3 linked regions of the Cricetulus griseus genome follow. The protein of the gene in region 1 interacts with the protein of each later gene in a pairwise test. Links are inferred from orthologs where the notes say so. Each region holds a gene or a part of one and is shown in the gene's direction. Other genes may lie near its edges. The genes, in order: Nav2, Ing5 and Rbm15.

The links.
Region 2: the proteins of Nav2 (region 1) and Ing5 interact in binary tests that used the Homo sapiens proteins (3 or more experiments, as listed by UniProt). The two-hybrid records come from large-scale screens. The link is inferred for Cricetulus griseus from reciprocal best matches to the Homo sapiens genes NAV2 and ING5.
Region 3: the proteins of Nav2 (region 1) and Rbm15 interact in binary tests that used the Homo sapiens proteins (3 or more experiments, as listed by UniProt). The two-hybrid records come from large-scale screens. The link is inferred for Cricetulus griseus from reciprocal best matches to the Homo sapiens genes NAV2 and RBM15.

What each region holds. Positions count from the first base shown.
Region 1 is NC_048596.1:146,269,310-146,276,640, forward strand, and holds the start of Nav2 (neuron navigator 2), read left to right. Parts: upstream 1-2,521; 5' UTR 2,522-3,261; coding exon 3,262-3,519; intron 3,520-4,994; exon of another isoform or gene 4,995-5,825; intron 5,826-7,331. UniProt on the Homo sapiens protein: Possesses 3' to 5' helicase activity and exonuclease activity. Involved in neuronal development, specifically in the development of different sensory organs.
Region 2 is NC_048595.1:445,246,502-445,253,025, forward strand, and holds part of Ing5 (inhibitor of growth protein 5), read left to right. Parts: intron 1-1,724; coding exon 1,725-1,860; intron 1,861-1,978; coding exon 1,979-2,040; intron 2,041-3,923; coding exon 3,924-3,966; 3' UTR 3,967-6,524. UniProt on the Homo sapiens protein: Component of the HBO1 complex, which specifically mediates acetylation of histone H3 at 'Lys-14' (H3K14ac) and, to a lower extent, acetylation of histone H4. Component of the MOZ/MORF complex which has a histone H3 acetyltransferase activity.
Region 3 is NW_023276806.1:49,811,547-49,818,820, forward strand, and holds the start of Rbm15 (RNA-binding protein 15), read left to right. Parts: upstream 1-2,296; 5' UTR 2,297-3,205; coding exon 3,206-6,065; intron 6,066-7,274. UniProt on the Homo sapiens protein: RNA-binding protein that acts as a key regulator of N6-methyladenosine (m6A) methylation of RNAs, thereby regulating different processes, such as hematopoietic cell homeostasis, alternative splicing of mRNAs and X chromosome inactivation mediated by Xist RNA.

The sequences.
Region 1 (7,331 bases):
ACCTGGGAGTTTATTTGGAAGACCGAATCTTAGCCTCTTGGAGACCTGCTGAATTTGAATCTGTGATTCTTGTGCATATGAAGGCTTAGCGGGCCCGGAAGTTCACTGAATACACACTTCACCTGGCTAGAATTCTCAGCTTTAGTATGCATCAAAATTTGTTAAAAACACAGATTACCTACCCCTGACTCCTTACCCTCTGGGAGTGTTCAATAGGATGGGATGGGACAGATGGAGTGTGTCAAATTAATAGGTTTTTCTGTTGTTGCTCTGGGGACCAGACTTTGGACACTCACTGCATCTGAGCTCTGAGGATATTTGGGGATAGTTCCACCATCCTTAACAGTGGATGATGGCAATATCTTCTACAATTCTTCATACAGCTGGGAGAACTAGTGTTCAAGGGGGAATGTAGTATAAGCCCTTTTCATTTTGATATGCTCCTACTAAAAGGCAATCTCACCATGCATTCATTCAGTAACAATCTGGGTAGCTTCAGTCCATAGCATTCTGCTCAGTTCTGACAGAATCTCATGAAGGTCAAAATATGGTTCTTCAAAACATTTATTCCTTTCAAAGAGAGCACATGAAACACTAAATAAATTAAATAAACAAGACACTAGCATAGGAGGCCATTCAGATGGGCAAGGCCAGAGTGCACCGGGTCAGGGACCACTTGTGATTTCATTTCAGAGAGCAGGACTTAGAGCTAACACAGGCTATGTGCATTTCCCTCTAGCTCGGGTAAAAAGTCCCTGCAAACAGAATGGGTGGGGGTGGAGAGTACCATCTCACCTCTCCACTCTCCAAGGGCAGTTTTAAAACTCAACTTTTGCTTTGGTCTGGGGTCTTAGTTGAATCTACTATAGGAAAATGATGTAGACAGTACAGCTTAAATGACAAACATCTATCTCTCCTAGGCCTAGAGGCTGGAGGTCTGAGGCCAGGCTGTAGCCAAGGTCAAATTCTTGTCAGGAGATGTTTCTGAGGATTGGGAAAAGCTGCCATTTCATTATCAGAAAGCAATCATCTGTCTTCATCCCATCTCCTCCTGTAATATGAGCATTGATCCCATTGTGAGGATTCCTTGGTCATGTACTCATTACCTCCCAAAGGCTCCACTCACTGCCTGATACAAGTTGACAATTAGGGTGTTTTCCAGTACTGGGCACATGTATATACTAAGCAAGCAAGCAAGATGTCTACCACCAAGCTACCTCTCCAACCCTTTTTTTACTTTTATTTGGACACAAGAGTCTCATTAAATTGCCCTGAATTTGGGATTCTCCTGCCTCAGCCTCTGCAGCAGCCAAAATTACAGGCTGTCACTACTTTTCCCAGCCATGTTAGAGTTTTGCCAGGGATACAGTCAATAACATTAGGAAGACTGAAAATTAACTCTATGGAAGTTGTAGAACAGGCTGTAGGGTAGGAATACTGGCATATTAATAACTGGCACACCCTGGCATATTAATAACAAAGACACAGCCTTTTCTGGTCCCCTACACTGGCAGACACTATCTCATTTAGCTGGAGCAGTGCTTTTAGGGAAATGTACTCAAACTTGACTGCATGAGACAGCCACAGTTTTAGAAAGACTGAGAGTGGGTAAAGTTCCGAATTTGAATTCAAATACAAACCGTTCTCCAAGTAGGCCTCCTCCACGATCAGCCCAGGACCATCTATCTATTTTCCCTTCAGCTCTCAGATTCTGTGTCGGAGAGGAAGGGATCCTCCAGCGATTCCAAGTGGAGGAACCTGTGGTCTTGGCACGTCCCAGGAGCAGCCAGGCAGGCAGGCCTGTATGAAACGATGCAACCGGGGCAGGTTTGGCCTCAGTCTGCCCAGGTCACCAAGGCACTGTAATTACAGTCTGTGGTAGGTGACGGGAGGAGCTGTCTTGGGCGCGAAGCTTCCCCGGCCATTGTATCAGCCTATAAATACTTCAAATACTTAAGTGCAATGTGCAACCTTTGAATGTCCCAGAGGAAGCTGTTGGGAGGCCCCTGGGGCCGCCCGGAAAGGAGAAATGACTGGAGTGTCCTTCAGGCAGTAGACAAGGAGACCTGCTCAGTCAATCCCGATGGAGGTGCAGGGAGGCTGGGGCGTGCCTCCGGAACCCACAAACCGTTGAGATGACCCAAGCCATTTTGAAAAAGGGAAACCGATTTCCCCTGACAAATGCCGGGCGGGGGTGGGGGGGACGGAGAAAGGCGGGAATCAGTGTTCCAACGGCGTTTGCGGGCGGCTCCGGGGACGCGGGGGTGGCGACCCGCAGGGAGGCGCGCGCCGGGGCCGTGCCGCAGAGCGGCCACCAGCTCGCTTTGTACTTGCGGCCAAGCGCGGCCCCAGAGTTTCGGCGGCGGCCCCGTGAGTTGAGGCCACGCCCCCTTGCAGTGCGAGTCGCGACCGAGGATTGGTCCGCCTCGAACCAATGGGCGCGCGGGAACGGCCCGGGCTGTCAGCGCGCGCCGCAGCCGATCCTCCCCTGCGTCCAGCCCTGCAGCCCGCGCTGCCTTCCCCGGAGCTCAGCTCAGCGCAGCGCTACCAGCCCGGCCAGCTGCGCGACCCGGTGCCCGCGCTCTGCCGCCACCGCCGTGCTCCTCTCGAGCACACGGAACATGGGCAGATCCGCTCAGGTGCTGCGTGTTCCAGGGGCTTATGAGCAGCGGTGATCGGCTGTCACGCCCAGACAAGACCTTTCTAGGGAGATCGCCCGCGTCCGCTTCGGCGCGGATGACACTGCGGCGTGCTGGCAGGGTGACAGCCACCTTGCGGTTGAGACCTCCTGTGCTCCGTGCGCCCTCCGTTTCCCCATCCTCCGTTCATTTACTCCGCTGTTCACACCCGCAGCCTCCGGAGCGCGACGTGTGCGTCCCTAGCCTATGTCTTTTCCTAAGGAGCCTCCACACTTCGGAGACGCGATGACAAGTTAATATGGGCGTCCACGCCTCGGTTTCCCAGGAGAAGAATTGCCAGAGGCGGTAGTCCCTGAGCTTCTGAACAGGCCGCCCGCTGCGACATCCGCACAGGTGGGACCTGCTGAGGGCAGTGACCAGCCCGCCACCCCGCAGGCGCGCTCGCAGGATTTCCCCAGCTCCCCAGCCCGGGGATTTTGTTTTTTTATTTTTTTCCTCCACTGTTGGTGGGCGCCTCGCGGGCCGAAGCCCGGCGCCTGCTCGGCTGCCCGCGCTGCCTTTAGCGGTCGCCTCCGCAGCCGCTGCCAGGGACGTGCTGGGAAAGCCGAAGCCCCGGGAGAAGATGCCGGCCATCCTGGTAGCCTCCAAAATGAAGTCGGGACTGCCCAAACCGGTGCACAGCGCCGCGCCCATCCTGCACGTGCCCCCGGCCCGGACTGGTCCCCAGCCCTGCTACCTTAAGTTGGGAAGCAAGGTGGAGGTGAGCAAGACGGCCTACACTAGCCAGATCCCCCTGAAATCGCAGGGGCTGCAGGAGCCAACGGGGGAGGGGCTCCCGTTGCGGAAAAGCAGCTCTCTGGAGAACGGGTTCGATACCCAGGTGAGCAGTGCTGTGTGCTGGGGTGGTGGTGGGGGCACTGTTGGGGTTGTGGTGGTGATGGGTGATTTTTCCTGGGGGAGAGACACGGATGCCTGGAGAGGCTACTATAATGTACTTGGAGAGAGGAAGCATACCCTTTTAGCTGGCAGATTGGAAGGTGGGTGTGGCCAGAGTGCCAGAGGTTCGCCCAAGGAGCTCCACAAAGCTGAGGGGTGCTGGTAGCCTGCTGTTTCTTTGGGGTTGGAGCAGGTGTAGAGGTGGTATCAAAAAGCGCACGCTGACATTGGAAATGTTAGGACCTGAATGCTGAGTACTTGACCCCAAGGAAGCCGTGTCTGTGCTGGGATGTGTGTCTATGTCAGTGCCTTGGGTTGTAACCCGTTGAAGGAATGGTCTGGTGCCTCTTTGGATTGGATACTACCTGGCCCAGCTATGAGATCCAGGACAAGGGATGCTGGGTGGTTGCTCTGAACCTGCCCTCCTCCTAGCTTGAAGATGGCTTGCTCCTGTCCCTGTCCCATCTTTAGGGAGAAGGGATTCTGACCAGGTGCTGCTGACTGCTAGCTTGCTGGAGCATCTTGCTGTTGCCGTAGGGGTGGCTTGGTTGTCTCAGAATGGCTGCCCAAGCTGAGCCCCTCCTTATGCTGTCAGTGTTGGTGGCTCTGGTGATTAGGGAGATGTTGGTGTGGGTGAGAGAATGCCTGGAAGAGAAACGGTGACTTCTACCTTTCCGGGCAGAGCAGGCACCACCCCCACCCACCCTCCACTGGGCTGGGTGACAGGCCTTGGCCATGCAATCTCTTTTAAGGAAATCCTTAAGGGCCAATCAGTTTCTCTTGGACTTCTGCCTTCCTCCTCTTCTGGCAGGAGGGAGCAGGGGCATGCTGTATTTTCTTGGCTGCCAGTCAGCAGGGACTTTTTAGGGACAGGCCGACCTGACGGATGTGACTGTCCCAGTCAGGAGAGGAGAGGCTTCGGGAAGCCAGAGAGGGAGGCAATTTGGGGTTGGTATGGGAGAAGTAGCCACAGACAAGCTGACCTTTAGAGCACCTACTACTCTGCTCACAGAGACTACCTTCTGTAGCTTTCTCTGATCGGCGGTTAACACTCAACACATTCCTTGCTTTCTGATGGAGGACTGGAGCTAGAAGCTGGTTGGAGACAGACTGTTGGAACTCAGGGCCAGAAAAGGCCCTCCCCACACAGGCTCCCACACCCGGCCCATCATCATGTCCCTCTTGATGCCGCACTTGCTAAACATTTTTGGAAGCTGACAGCTTTGACTGATGGTGTGTGGGAGGGAGGCAAGATTTCCTTCAGTGCTCCTGGGCCCTGGCTCTGCTAGGCTGTGTGCTCTGCTCTTTTTCTTATGGCTACAGGACTTGTCCAGAGGGCTCTAAAGTGAGGGTGAGCACTGGGGTGCCTCCTTCATCTGTGGGGGTGGAGTGGGTGGGATTTTGGAACAGTGACTGAGAATGTGACACATGCCCTGGAGCCTGATGAGGAGGACCCTAGGAATGAACGGAAAGGCAGATGTTGGCTCATTCAAAGCCAGACTGCTGCCTGCTATTGCCCATTTGACCCTTCATTTAACAAACATTGGCAGAGGATTGCGGTGGGCAGGCTCTGGGAAGGTGATTCACCATTTAAAAAAATTACTCCTAGATTTCTCCATGAGGGGCTAATTTGGCGCTATTCCCTGGAGGCCCTGCCCGCACCACCCCACATTTCATCCCTCTTACTCTCCATGGGTCCTCTGCATCATGAGGGTGATTTGGATAGATGGCCCAGGAAACTGGCCACCTTCCAACAAACAGTCCTGCTTCCCCCCTTGCCAGCCCCTGGGTCTCCTAGGGGCTCTTCTATGTAACAGGCACTCATAGCCCCACCCTGACATCAAAGGGGCTTTGGCAAAAGGATTTCACCATCTTTGAACAGGGTATCCCCATGGTGACAGACATTGCTCATTCACCTTCCAGAAAAGTCCCTCGATTATGGCTTGAGGACCTTGACTGACTTGGCACCTGGTAATTTCCTGGTCCCAAACTTAATGTTTATCATTAGAAGACACTCAGGAAATGATAAACTCAGTGACAAATGATATCTTGGAGCCGTTGGTTGGGGGATTTTTGGCAGAAGACTGGCTTGGTTGTTTAGTGACTAACAGCACAGGTTTTAAAGCATTGGCTATCAGTGCTGCCTTCTATCTAACATGACATGCTGGCCAAGTGGCCCAGTCCTTTAACTACTCCCCTGGGCCTCAGTGCTTTCATTTGTAAAAATGGGTACAAGCAGCCACAGGAATTGTGAGTATTAAGAAAAATTTTGTATTCCAAACTGTTCACAAGTGTTTACAGGCCTCTGGCTCTGCCTGGCACAGTTCCAGGCTCTGTGGGAGGATGGGGGGAGGGGGAGGGATTGACCTGTGGAATGCCTGATGTGTGTTAGGCTCTTTCCATAGGATCTCACTGGTCTTCACAGGAACACTTAGAGTAGGTGTGGTGCTTTGGCCATGTCCTAAGATATCAAGAAAGTAAAGAAGGCACCCTTGCCTTGTACTTCCTAGGTGCCAGGAATTGTTCTGAATTGTTTTGAATACAAAACTCCTTATGCACTGGGCATTGGTGGCTCATGCCTTTAATCCCAGCACTCGGGAGGCAGAGGCAGGCGGATGTCTGTGAGTTCGAGGCCAGCCTGGTCTCCAGAGTGAGTGCCAGGATAGGCTCCAAAGCTACACGGAGAAACCCTGTCTCGAAAAAAAAAAAAAAAAAAAAAAAAACCCTCTTATTCGATAAGGATAATCATCCCATTTTATACATATGATAAATCAAGGTTAAATGGTCTCGGGAGCAGCAGAGTTAGTAGCATTAGAACTCAAGCCCCTTAACTGTGTTGCTGGACAGGGAGAGCCACAGCAGCTGCTGGCCAATTATAGACCTTGAGTTATCAGACCATAGATGGCACCACTGACCCATATTGTCCAGTGTGGCAGAACGGGAATCCCAGCTCAGGTGCTTGTCCAGTGACATGCCCACTGTCCATCACCACTGGTGCTGTGGCAGAGCTGAGGACAAATAAGGCCTGGTCTTGGGAATGATATATCCCAGGTAGAAGGCATGACTTCTGCATCCAGCAGAGGGCAACACTGGGAGAGCTAGAAATGTATTGAGGCTGAGGAGTCAAGATGCTGGAAGTAAGACTAGTACCTCAAGGGCTGGAAAGGACCATGGGGGCTCACAGGGGAGGCAGGCAGGAGATGAGCTGGGCCTCAGGTGTGGGCAGGAGTGCCTAGTGGGGAGGAGAGAGGGAGGCCAATGAGAACAAAGGTTAAGCTGCCCTGCAGTGGTGCAGACCCCAAGTGGATGCTCTTCTGTGCGTGTTCTAGATTGGGTGCTTTCCATTTCACGTCAGGGTATGAGGAAGAGCAGAGGCTCAGCTGTCACAGTACTGGATGCTCGTGCTGGCTTCTAGTGGACAGTAACTGCATATAGGCCAGTGGCAAGAAAATGGGGAGATGGTGTCTGCTACAGAACCTGGCTCTTAGGAAGAACAACAATGAGTGCTGTTAGCTTGGGTTTCAGAGTGTTTGACATGGTCATTATAGGACAAAACTTTGCTGTTTTCTTTTTTGATTACTGGGTCTTTCACTCACTATGTAGATCAGGCTAGCCTTGAACTCGAAGAGATCCACCTACCCCTGCCTCTCAAGTGCTGGGATTAAAGGTTTTTGCCACCACACCCGGCTTCATTCCTATTTTCTTACCTAGTAATTCCATTTACTTCATGAGTTTTCACTCATCTTCCCCACCCCA
Region 2 (6,524 bases), on another chromosome or scaffold:
AGGCCTTGAACTCAGGCTCCTCCTTCCTCAGCTTTCCAAGGGCTGCATTAAAGACGGGTATCCCCACACCTGACTGACTGAACCTGCAGTCTTAAGCTTCAGGTCACATGTCAGCTGAATGGCTGTGGCTCCCTATGATAGCTGGATGGTGGATCTTCCTGTGGGGAAGGTCCGTGTACCTGGTAGAATTGAGCAGCAGAGGCAGGCACACTTCTGGGCTTGGCTTGCTGCCTCAGAGGGGCTGCATGGTGTCCATGGACAGTAGGCCACACAGAGACCACGGAGGCCAGGAGTCGAGGTAGAGTGTCCCGGGTCTAAGTTTCCCACTTGAAGGACCTCTTGGGGGTCGCTTGAAAGCCATATTATAGAGTGCTTGGACTCAGACGTGTTTTTGTGGCATTTCTGTGAAGGCATGGGTTACCTGCTGAGGAGAGGCCCCAGTTGCAGAGCCTCCTAGGTGCTGGGCTAGGATGTAGATATACTGTATGACCTGGGACACGCAGGAATTCAGAGGCTAGGAGCCAGGCTTCTGTGTCTTGCTTCCTGTCTACAGCTGTGTCATGCTTTGTATTCGCCATAACCCTCATGGAAATGGCCATATTTATTTGTCACTATACATGCCTAGTTCAGGGGTGAGCATGGATAGTGGTAGTACAGATGTAGGGATTATACTGCCCAGACTGCCCTACAGTGTACACGGAAAAATACATGTAAAGAATAAGTTAAGTTTTCTGCTCTACAGTAAAGGGTGGGGCAGTGCTGTGCTGGCAGCAGTTACGGGGGAAGGTGAAGGAGTAGGATTCTTGCCAGGCTGCTGTTCAGAGCCCAGGGGCAGCTTCGGGCACTGGGGAGTGAGCAGGGTAGTGTGTACCAAGCTGGCTCTTGTTAGCCTGCTGGGCAGCTGGGTGAGGTTGATGGGTGGATACTTGGAACTCACAGAAGGCTAGGAGGGGCTGCCAGTGTGTGGTTTGGGGTAGGTGCCGAGGATGCACTGACCCTTGTCAGGGGAGGAGGGCTGTCAGTCCATTGGCTCCATCAGAGCTGGTGAGTGCCTCCACCCTTAGGTCAGCCTAGGGTAAGACACAGATGATTCCTCAGATATTAGCTATCTGCCGGCGGGGGTGGGGTAGGGCTGTTCTTGTCCCTCAGGAGGTGGCAGCTGACACACAAGGGAAGTCCAGGGAAAGCAGCAGCCTTGTTCTGTGGGAGGGGTCTTTGTCCCCAGTAGACAGCAATGGCTGGTGTTGGATTTAGTTGCTAGTGAGTGCTGTTAGCAATTCCAGACCCCACTGCCTGCCTCTGGAGCCTTTGCTGATATGAGGGTAGTGTGATTTCTGTTTGCTGTTTGCTGCTGCCCCTAGGTTTGTGGCTGGTATTAGTTCAAGGGACTCTATTCAACTGATAATGAGCACGCCATATCGTCCTCACTATAAATTCTCAGGAGAGATTTGGCTGGAAGGTTTTGAGGTTATCCTTGCGGATGAATCCCAGTGATGGGTGTTAGGACTGTTCCCGGGCCCCAGTAACAAGAAAAGTGGAAGCAAGTTTATGGGTGATCATTAATCCAGAGACATTGTAGATTGCTTCCTTAGAGGAGCCTGCACGCATCTTTGGTTCCAGGGTAGAGGCGCCCTGGCCATTGGTGGGAGGGCTGCAGTGTGGCCTCACGAGTCTGCTGCCTTCCCTCTGGTGCCCTGTTGTCAGCAGAGCCTTTCTCTCTTCAGGTCTGAGTTTACTGACAGCATCCTCTCTGTGCACCCCTCTGACGTGCTGGACATGCCTGTGGATCCGAATGAGCCTACATACTGCCTGTGCCACCAGGTGTCCTACGGGGAGATGATTGGCTGTGACAATCCAGACGTGAGTGGATCTCAAAGGATAATGGGACACACCTTGTAGATCCGGGCAGGTGGGAGGCTCTCTGTGTCTAACAAACAGAGTGCACGGGTGTGACCAGACTTTCCCCCTTGCTTTGCAGTGTCCAATTGAGTGGTTTCACTTTGCCTGCGTGGATCTCACCACAAAGCCCAAAGGAAAGTGGTTAGTATGGGGGTGACTGCAGCCTTGGGCAAGCCTGTCTGGTGCTCTGGGTCTTGTTGTATGTCTCCATACTTCTTCAGCATTGGTCCTGTCTGGGGAGGGGTGGCGGTGGCGGCAGCAAATTTACAGAGAGAGAGAGAGAGAGAGAGAGAGAGAGAGAGAGAGAGAGAGATCGATCTACTGCTCAGCTTACCTGGGTGTATATAGTATTTACACTACAGCCCTTTAAAGAAGGGTTCCCTCCATACCTCCACCCCAGTGTGTGTCCAGTGTGCCAGGCCAGAACTCTATCACTGAACTTGTCCCCTTCACCCTCGGGCTCATGTTGGGTAGAGGTTATTTTAAGTGAAGACGAGGAGAGGAAGTGCTCATCTCCAGGGAAAAATTATGAAGAACACGCGAAGTACCTGTAGAATGGGTGTTTTCCCTCCCAGGGGTCTCCATCTACCACAGCATAGGCTTATGCATTCTTTTTCCATCCTGCATGCGGTCAGCAGGAGGCTACTTACTATTCAAGATGTTCCCAAGGTTTTATTTGAATAAAAACCTGGTTTTGTTGACTTGTGTTAAGAATGGATGCATGTTCTTAAAATGAAATAGTAGGAACTGGGCCTTCCTCGCAGGAACACTTGGAGCATCTCATGGTAACATCAGCCTGTAGCCAGTTTGAGAGTCACCTGGGAAAGGAGGGGTGGATGCTGTGTTGCAAGGACTTTGGTCAGTACGCTTATGATGTGTGTGGTGTGAATGTAATCCCACCTTAGTGGGCATACCTACTGTGCATGGCTCCTTGTTTTATATCTCAGGGCGGTGATGGCGCACACCTTTCACCCCAGCACTCAGGAGGCAGAGGCAGGTGGATCTCTGTGAGTTAGAGGCCAGCCTGGTCTAAAAGTGAGTTCCAGGACAGGCTCTAAAGCTACACAGAAATACCCTGTCTTGAAAAGCCAAAATAAAATAAAATAAAATAAAATAAAAGAACCATATGGCAGGTGCCATGGCTGTGCCTATGCCTTGTGGAAGTGGGCTGGGCTGCGCTGGCAGTGGGCATGTGAGAGCAGGTGTGTGGCTGGGCTGCTGATGGATGGTGATTACTTGGATGAGGAAAGGGAAAAGAGTAGGCTCATGAGGCAGCAGGATCTACCTTTGAGTTCAAGTTGGACATGGGGCATCGTTTGCAGGATCCCCAGGTAGGGAGTGGGACAGCACTGGCAAAACTGTTGGGATGTGACATCAACCTTAGAGCTAGGCCCAGGGCTAGACACAAGAACTGGGGAGTGGGGTTCCAGTTTGTGTCTCTGTAGGTTACCAGCATGGGCTTCCTCAGAGGGACAGGGAGGTCTAACTGACATGGTCACTGTAGCACAGGTGGGAAGTAATGTCAGCCATAATGTGTGTCAAAGAACCGTCTCCCACATGGGACCTTACTAGATTGTCCCTTTGGATCATGAGTGGCTGACATGTTCTTGAGTGTCCATGAACACTGCCTGAGGCTCTGATGTGTGCTTGACCTGCAGCACTCGGACCTGTGGGACCTATACAGGCTCCAAGGCCCAGTGCAGCTGTCTCAGGCTGTGTCTACACAGAGTCCTCAGCATGTTCAGTCCACCAGCCCTTGGTGTCCCATTCATGGTGGGCACCTCAATCTCTGACCAGCCTTACCTTCTTGATCACAAGGCTGTGCTGGGCTGTTACCAGTCAACTTCAGCCATGGACAAGTTAGTGCCTCCAATGCCGGCTCTCCTCAGAAAGATGGCACCTCCCACTTGCTGTCGCTCGCTGTCCTCTGGCTTCCCTGGGGGATGTAGGAAGTCTATACTTGGGTGTCCTGTGTGCCAGGAGAAACGATGCAGAAGGTTGACCCCGTGTCTGTCTTGTCACAGGTTCTGTCCACGATGTGTTCAGGAGAAGAGGAAGAAGAAGTAGAGCAGAGGCTGTTGTGCCAGACTGAAGAGCAAGCTAATATATTTCTTCACTCATGTTGCAATATTATCTTTCATTTTAAAACTACCTTATTTCAACTGATATTTAAAAATCCAGTGGCCAGTTGTCATTTTGGATATTTCCCAAAATAAGAAGCCACTGCACCATTTGCACAGAACAATCTCACAGGGACTTGCCACGGTGACTTTACATGCAGGCTCCCCTCTCCTGCAACCTCCCAGCACTGGGAAAGGCAACACCACCTGTGGTGAGTGTCACTTGGGGCTGTAGGCCAAGTGCGTGGTGCAGGGTGAACACGTTTTAACCTGGTGTACTGCCACTGTTTTGTGACTTGAGGGTCAGCCTTGAGTGTCCATGTTTTCCAGGACTGTCTTGTGGCCTCATGGAAGCACAGCTGTTGCTCTGTGAGCAAAATGTTATCAGGCGCTGTCCCATGTTATGCTCTGACCCTGACCGAAGCCCAGGGACTCCTGGCCAACATACCTCTGATGTGTCTGGAAAGGACTGGCAGCTCTTCCCAGGTGGAAGTGCTCTCTGATTATGCCCAGCCTTTTCAGTGTGAACTTCCAGCCCTCCCTGGAGAGTCAGCTTCCATTAGCCTTGGACTGTCCCTTATCACAACCAGCACCGCCCAACAGCGGACAAACAGCCAGGCTGAGCTTCCACCTCTCTGGGAATTCCTGACTTTTTTTTTTACTGTGAAGATGAAATTATTGTAATAGCATGAAGGTCATGGGTCTGTGTGTCTCCGACGTGAGTCTGTCTGCTGTGAGCTGATTTTAGAACTCTGCTGTGTTGCATCCCACTAGACCAGGAAGCCTACATTCAGGGGGATTACAATTACGTGACATGATTTGTGAATTTGTGTGCCCAATAGCAGTTCTAGAATGAAGGTAGGAAACTAGAGTTATTCTTTGTTTAGCCAGTGTTCACAAAACCAGTGTTGAACTGTCTTTTGGAAATATTTGGGGGGCGGGGACATATACACAGGGCCTGTTGAGGTGTACCTGTGGTGGCTCCTTAAGTGTGACAGGGTCATGAGGGTTTCCTTTGACTTTGGTATGTTTCCCAGTGTCTCAGGCTCTCTGAGAACTAAGAAGGCCTGTCCTTGGCCTCACGCCAGAAAACGACCCACAAAACAGAGCTGGGTTACACAATTTCCAATTTAAGGAGACGCCAGTTTTTTATCTGAAGACAGGCACATTATTTTAAGGTGGTCATGTCTAAGTAGATAGGTTTCCCTCCCACTTTATCCAAGGAAAGGAAACAAAACAGAGGAAGTTGTATCTGCTCCACATCATGCCATCACGGTCATGTTCCTACTGGACAGGGTGTCCTCCACAGCCTGTCCCAGCAAGAGAGAGAGAGAGACAGGAATGGCTTGTGTTCGTGCTACTGAGTAAGTTGGTCCATGTTGACCTTTCCTGGGCAGCAGGTGCTAAGCAACAGTGTAAGCTTGTCTCCAGACTAGGAGGAGCTTTGGAAATGCGGTTCCTGTGGTCTCTGGGTTTGAGGGGCTGGCTTTCTTCTTTAGGACCACCTCTCAGGCTTAGATGTGATAGACATTTTCATTTTTTGGTTTTGTTTTGTTTTGTTTGGTTTTTGATTTTTGGAGACAGGGTTTCTCTCCTGGAACTAGTTCTGTAGACTAGGCTGGCCTTGAACTCAGAGATTTGTCTGCCTCTGCCTCCTGAGTGCTGGAATTAAAGGTATACGCTACCACCATCAGCTAGACATTTTCATTTCTTAGCCTTTTGTTGTTCTAAAGCTTTGTGAGGATAAGTTACAGGTGGTTTTTTTTGTTGTTTTGTTTTTCCCTTTTCCCTTTTTATTTTAAAGACCAGGTCTTATGTATCCTAGGCTTGCTTTGAGCTCACAGTGTAGCTGAAGATAACTTTGATCTTTTGATCGTCCTTCCTGCATCTCCCAAATGCTAAGGTTACAGATGTGCACTAACAGGTCTGGCTTTGCAATGTTAGGGACCAAACCCAGAACTTTTTTTTTTTTTTCTTTTTTTGCTTTTTTGAGACAGGGTTTCTCTGTATAGTCCTGGCTGCCCTAGAGCTCACTCTGTAGTCCAGGCTGGCCTTGAACTCACAGAGATCTGCATGTCTCTACCTCCCGAGTGCTTTTTTTCCCCTTCAGTCCTAGGGGTCAGGCCTCATGCATCCTTTAATTTAATTTAATTTATTTGGAGGCAGGGCCTAATTATGTAGCTCAGACTAGCTTTGAACTAGCAGTCACCCTGCCTGAGCCATGAAATATTGGGATTATAGGCATGTGCCACCTGTAATATCTGGACCTCTTGTAATTTCTGTAAGCACAAGAAGTTTTAAATCAGATCTTGCCTGATAATGCCTTAGCAGCTGAGTAATACCTGAGATGCAGCCTGAGGCAGAGGAGCGTTTCCTAGTGGAGGTGCTAGAGGCTGGCTACACTCCATTTTCTGGCTTCCTGAGGTCATGCTGGCTTCCCTGACTTCCACCTGGGGCCATCCTACATAGTGACTTTTGACTTATTTATTTTTGCAAATTTCTCTA
Region 3 (7,274 bases), on another chromosome or scaffold:
GTTGAGACTGTGTGCTCAGCAGATAGGATGGTCTTCAAAATATATTCTACTACTGAAGGGACTAGCTTCCCTTTCGGCAGCCATAACAGCCGAATATATGCTTGCCATAACTTGCCTTGGTCACTTAGAGGTCAGATGCCTTCCTTGTGACAAGGAATCAATCAGAAGTTAGCTGGTGGCGCTATGCTTTACGACCCTGCGTGTGTGCTTTACGGACAAGTGCACAGCAATGACCCACAAAGCATAGCAACCACCCTGGGAGGGCCTATGGGCCATAACAACCAGTTGACCAATCAACACAGGGCAAGCCGAGCTGTCTTTTTCTAGCCATCCGCCATGGCGGGTGGGTAAAAGACCCCAGCTAACATGGGGTTAGCTCATTAAATTACAATAAAGCCTCATGCAGTTTGCAGCATGCTCTCGGATCTGCCTGGTGATTGGGGTGACCGAAGCCCCGGATACCTGAGTTTTCCGGGGATCTAACACTACTGTATATTTTTAAACCAAAATTATACAAGGAAAATTTTCATTTATAATATCAAAAGTCCCTTGCTAATTCCAGATCCTCAGCTCTGTCTCTGAGAGCAATCTCTGTAACTATCAATTAAAAATACAAGCATATAGCCGGGCATTGGTGGCGCACGCCTTTAATTCCCAGCACTCGAGAGGCAGAGGCAGGTGGATCTCTGTGAGTTCGAGGCCAGCCTGGTCTCCAGAGCAAGTGCGCCAGGATAGGCTCCAAAGCTACACAGAGAAACCCTGTCTGGAAAAACCAAAAAGAAAAAAAAATACAAGCATATGTATATGATACACATACAATGTTAAAAAACACAATTGGTAGTTTATCATACACATTTTTCTCTGACTGGTGGTATTTTATGTTAACAGCCTTTTAAAAAATTATTTTTGCCGGCCTGGAGAGATGGCCCAGGGGTTAAAATTACTTGCTGTTTTAAAATTACTTGCAGTTTGTTCCCCAGGGCTCAGGTTGACTCACAATTCTGGGATCTTCCGGGGATCTGTCACTCTCTTTTCGCTTCTCTGGACACCAGAATACTAGCATACATGCAAACACACACATACATACAAGCACGCACGTGTGTGGTCTCAATATATAGTCCTAGTTGATCTAGAACTCACTATGTAGACTAAACTGGCCTTGAACTCACAGACATCTTCCTGTGCCTGCCTTTCAAGTGCTGGGATTAAATGAGTACATCATGTCCTGCTAAAAAAAATAGTCTTTTGTTGTTGTCATTTTGTTTTTTTTCTGTTTTTCTGAGAAGGGAGGGTTTCTCTGTGTAACAGCCCTAGCTGGAACTCGCTTTGTAGATAAGGTGGCCTTCAACAGAGAGACCCATCCATCTGCCTCTACCTCCTGAGTGCTGGGGTTAAAGGTATGAGCCACCTTGCCTGGAAAAAAATAAGACTTTAAAACCCATTTTTTCCCCCAAGTACTGGGGCTTGAATCTAGAGCTTCATACATGGTGCCCAAGTCTCCAGACTTCTTTTGTGTGTGAGTGGTTTTGAGGTTTTCAGGCTAATGAGCTGGGATTACAGCTATTCCACAATGCCCCACAAGAGTTATTTTTAATACAAGTATATCTGTGCATTACAGTATTTGGAGGTTTATAGTTAACATATTGATTGGGCTTCTTCTTTCAAATCCCTTTGATGTGATCAAGAAATTTTGGCCGGAATGTTCTTGGGGAGACTGCAGGAAGCCTATTTCTCTTCACCAGAAGGCAAATGCCAGTGCAACAGACTACCCGTCTAGTCTCATGATCCAACAGTATTGCACAAATTTACCCAACACACAATAAAGGTACCTGGATGGTGTACCGGGAGTTGAGAAGTGGATCATGATTAAAAGACTTAAAGAGGTGGGCCTAGGGAGGTAGCAAAGTGCCCGTGTTCCTGGATCCTAGTAGGAATTAATCGGGAGTGCTGCGGCACAAGAAACCAGAGAAAGTGTCAAGTGTCCGCACAGCGAGAAGCGTTACATATTAAAGGTAAGCACAGCGATATCACGTTCCATGGCTTTTACAAATGCAAACCCTACAGGGATTCACAACCTAAAACAGGCGCCAGGGAAGGTCTGCAGTGGCCCGCAGGTCGGACCAGTAGGCCTGGAGGCTGTGAACACAGGTCACCGCGAGCCCTGGGGCGGCCACGTCTCCGGGGCGCCGTTTCCTATGTCCGCGGGTGGGCGGGCAGAGACTCGGTACCGCCCAGGGCGTCAGCGTGACCCGAGGCTCAGTGAACCCTGAACTCGCCGCCCCGGCCAGCTGCACAGACCCGGGCAGGCGCTTTCTCGCGCACGGGGGTGGGGCTTTTCCAGGCTGCTAACTAAGATGGTGTCGGCTGGACTTCCCGGGACAGCTGCCTAAGGGGATCGAGGGCCAGCAGCCGGAGGGACCACCCGGCCCACTGTCCGGCCCAGACAGCACCGACCGTGCGGAGCCTGCGGGTTCCAGACTCGAAGGACCGAAGCACAGCCAAGTACGCCGTAGGACCTAACAAATGTTTAAGAGAACGCCGAAAGCGCGGGGAGGCGGGCCCGACTCGCTGTCACCGTCTCGCGACAGCTAAGTGACGTCGCACGGCAAGCGCGTGTTCTAGTCTTTCACCTTCAGACGCCTCGGTTTGTGGGCCTACTCCTTTAAGTAAGTGATGGACAGCGCTGTTACCCTATCAGCTTCCTCGCCAACGTCCAATCAGATTTAAACTTCCTCCGGCCGCCGGAGAAGTTGGAAGACTGGGGTCGAAAGGGAGCGAGCGGGCGAGCGAGCTCTTTGTGTCTCGCGAGATCGGGAGAGCCAAGTTTTCAGAAAAAAACGCCAGAACCGAAGTCCGTACTTCCCAAGGAGTGGTTTAAAGGACGTGGCCACGGACCAATGAGAGGAAAGAGGAGGTGGGACCACTGCTTTCGCCGTGCTAGAAGTACCGTTACAGGGCAGACTTTTTGTCCAATCAACGACTCGAGGCTTCGGGTCAGGTGACCGTGAAGTGCGAGGGGCGGAGCTACGGCTGGCGCGAGGAACCGTTAAGATAGACAACGAATATAACCAATGAGGTACGCGGATTAGGGCGTTGGGAACCCAATAACAGCGTCGAGGCGGGCGCCTTCCCGGAGCGCGGGGAGATGTAAAGACGGACAAATAGTTTTTCCAATGAGAAGGCTGAAGAGTGAATTAATTGACCAATGAGGTCTGCGGGGCGGGAGCCTTTGCCGCGGCGGAGTCCAAGATGGCGGCGTGCGAGTCCGCTGTGTGAAACGAGCGCGGGGTGGCGGGTTAGTCAGCTCCGCAGAGACGACCTCCGGCGACCCTCAACAATGAAAGGAAAGGAGCGCTCGCCGGTGAAGCCCAAACGCTCCCGCGGCGGTGAGGACTCCAGTTCTCGTGGGGAGCGGAGCAAGAAGTTAGGGGGCTCTGGCGGCAGCAATGGGAGCAGCAGCGGGAAGACGGACAGCGGCGGGTCGCGGCGGAGCCTTCACCTGGATAAGTCCAGCAGCCGAGGTGGCAGCCGCGAGTATGACACCGGTGGGGGCAGCTCCAGCAGCCGCCTGCATAGTTACAGCTCCCCGAGCACCAAAAATTCCTCAGGCGGGGGCGAGTCGCGCAGCAGCTCCCGGGGTGGAGGCGGGGAGTCACGTTCCTCTGGGGCCGCCTCCTCAGCGCCTGGCGGCGGGGACGGAGTGGAGTACAAGACCCTGAAGATAAGCGAGTTGGGGTCCCAGCTGAGCGACGAGGCGGTGGAGGACGGCCTGTTTCACGAGTTCAAACGCTTCGGTGATGTAAGTGTCAAGATCAGTCACCTCTCGGGTTCTGGCAGCGGGGATGAGCGGGTAGCCTTTGTGAACTTCCGGAGGCCAGAGGACGCGAGGGCGGCCAAGCATGCCAGAGGCCGCCTGGTGCTCTATGACCGGCCTCTGAAGATAGAAGCCGTGTACGTGAGCCGGCGCCGCAGCCGCTCCCCGTTAGACAAAGATACTTACCCTCCGTCGTCCAGCGTGGTCGGAACCTCTGTCGGTAGCCACAGGCACGCCCCTGGAGGAGGTGGAGGTCAGAGATCACTTTCCCCTGGCGGTGCTGCTTTGGGATACAGAGACTACCGGTTGCAGCAGTTGGCTCTTGGCCGCCTGCCGCCTCCACCCCCACCACCATTGCCCCGAGAGCTGGAAAGAGAACGAGACTACCCGTTCTATGACCGAGTGCGCCCAGCTTATAGTCTTGAGCCAAGGGTGGGAGCTGGAGCAGGTGCTGCTCCTTTCCGAGAAGTGGATGAGATCTCGCCCGAGGATGATCAGCGTGCTAACCGGACACTTTTCTTGGGCAACTTAGACATCACTGTGACAGAAAATGATCTAAGAAGGGCTTTTGATCGTTTCGGAGTCATCACAGAAGTGGACATTAAGAGGCCTTCTCGTGGACAGACCAGTACCTATGGTTTTCTCAAATTTGAGAACCTAGACATGTCTCACAGGGCCAAACTAGCAATGTCTGGCAAAATTATAATTCGGAATCCAATCAAGATTGGTTATGGTAAAGCCACACCCACCACCCGACTTTGGGTGGGTGGCCTGGGACCTTGGGTGCCTCTTGCTGCCCTGGCACGAGAATTTGATCGATTTGGCACCATACGAACCATTGACTACCGAAAAGGTGATAGTTGGGCATATATACAGTATGAAAGCTTGGATGCAGCTCATGCTGCCTGGACCCATATGCGTGGATTCCCACTCGGTGGCCCAGATCGTCGCCTTAGAGTAGACTTTGCAGACACAGAGCATCGTTACCAGCAGCAGTATCTTCAGCCTCTGCCCTTGACTCATTATGAACTAGTGACAGATACTTTTGGGCATCGAGCGCCTGACCCTTTGAGGAGTGCTCGGGATAGGACGCCACCCTTACTATACAGAGATCGTGATCGGGACCTTTATACTGATTCTGATTGGGTGCCACCCCCACCACCAGTTCGAGAACGCAGTGCTCGTGCTGCAGCTAGTGCTGTGACTGCTTATGAGCCACTGGATAGCTTGGATCGAAGGAGGGATGGCTGGTCATTGGACAGGGACAGAGGTGATCGGGATTTGCCTAGCAGCAGGGACCAGCCAAGGAAGAGAAGGCTGCCTGAAGAAAGTGGAGGACGGCATCTGGATAGATCACCTGAGAGTGACCGGCCACGAAAACGTCATTGCACTCCTTCTCCTGACCGAAGTCCAGAACTGAGCAGTAACAGAGATCGCTACAACAGTGACAACGATCGATCTTCTCGTCTTCTTTTGGAAAGGCCCTCTCCAATCAGAGATAGACGGGGCAGTTTGGAGAAGAGCCAGAGTGACAAGCGAGACCGTAAAAACTCTGCATCAGCTGAACGGGATAGGAAGCACCGGACAGCTGCTCCCACAGAGGGAAAAAACCCTCTGAAAAAGGAAGAACGTTCTGATGGCAATGCACCCAGTGCCAGCGCGTCATCATCAAAGCAGAAAGCTCCTTCCCAGAAACAGGATGGAGGGACAGCTCCTGTGGCAGCATCCTCTCCCAAACTCTGTTTGGCTTGGCAGGGCATGCTTCTACTGAAGAACAGCAACTTCCCTTCCAACATGCATCTATTGCAGGGTGACCTCCAAGTTGCTAGCAGTCTACTTGTGGAGGGTTCAACTGGAGGCAAAGTAGCCCAGCTCAAGATCACTCAGCGTCTCCGTTTGGACCAGCCCAAGTTGGATGAAGTAACTCGTCGCATCAAAGTGGCAGGGCCCAATGGTTATGCCATACTTCTGGCTGTACCTGGAAGTTCTGACAGCCGATCCTCCTCTTCGTCAGCTACATCAGACACTGCCACCTCTACACAGAGGCCACTTAGGAACCTTGTGTCCTATTTAAAGCAAAAGCAGGCAGCTGGGGTGATCAGCCTCCCTGTGGGGGGCAACAAAGACAAGGAGAACACAGGGGTTCTTCATGCCTTCCCACCTTGTGAGTTCTCTCAGCAGTTCCTGGATTCCCCTGCCAAGGCACTGGCCAAATCTGAAGAAGATTACCTGGTCATGATCATTGTTCGTGGTGCGTCCTAAAGTCCATGTGTAACTTGTATTTACTATTTTGACATGGTTCCTTGTTTTGTGATATGTAATGGGATACAGCATCAGATAAATTTCTTTCAATTAGTTTAGTTGGTTTTTTTATATATATATTTTTGTAAACCTCCTTAAAATAGATATTGGGGCGATTTAGCTATTATTTTAAGTGAAAGGGATGCCCTGAAGGTAGCAAGAGGATGGATTTGCTTTAATTAGGAATTACTTTTCTTTTTCTTCTGGTATTTTTTTTTTCAGTCTCTTGAGTTTAAAAAAAAATCCTCAAAATGATAAAACCTACAACTTTTAGAATCATAATTTGGAGGAAAGAGCCTTTTGTACTGAAAAAATAGTGTGATTGGTGCATAGATAGTTTCTATACTAGAAGCATTAATCAGGTATTCCAAAGTTCAATTATTTTAATCAGGTATTTGAGTATTTTTCTTATTCCCAGAAAGTTTGCTTGCTTTAACATTTATGTCATTAGTTTTTGAGTTTTGTATCCTGTGTATGTAGCTGTAATTGGTAAAAATTGAGGCTTGTGTTATAAACCATTTACATCTTTAGCTGGTCTGCAAGAAATGAGTAAGTGCTTTTAAAATGAGAAGTTTTTGGTAAGTTAGGTGCACAGTGGTGTTTTTATTGACTTTGAGGGGTACAGCAAATACAGTTTTAATTGTGTATACTTCAAAACCAAAAATTAAGTTTTTTGTATCCATTTAAGAAATTTCTGATTCCAGTAATAGAAAGAACAGCTGTCTGCAGGCTTATAAGTAACTCCCCCCCCACTCCCATGGTCATTAATCAAACATCTGAATTACAGATTTTTTTTAAGGTTATTGTAAAATGCCCTTGATATATTTGAAGAAAATTCCTTCATATTTTATCTTCATATTTAAACCAGAGTAGTGGCATTACATTGTTGACAGTGTTTTGAATATCTTTGAAATTTAATGTCTAGTATTCTAGTATTTTGACTGCTCTCTGGCCTTATAGAGGTTTGAAGTGTCAGTGTTAGAAACCCCTTTTTCTTTTTCTTTTTTTCTTTTTTTTGTTTTTTGTTTGTTTGTTTGTTTGTTTGTTTTTCGAGATAGGGTTTCTCTGTGTAGCTTGGAGCCTATCCTGGCACTCGCTCTGGAGACCAGGCTGGCCTTGAACTCACAGAGATCCGCCTGCCTCTGCCTCCCGAGTGCTG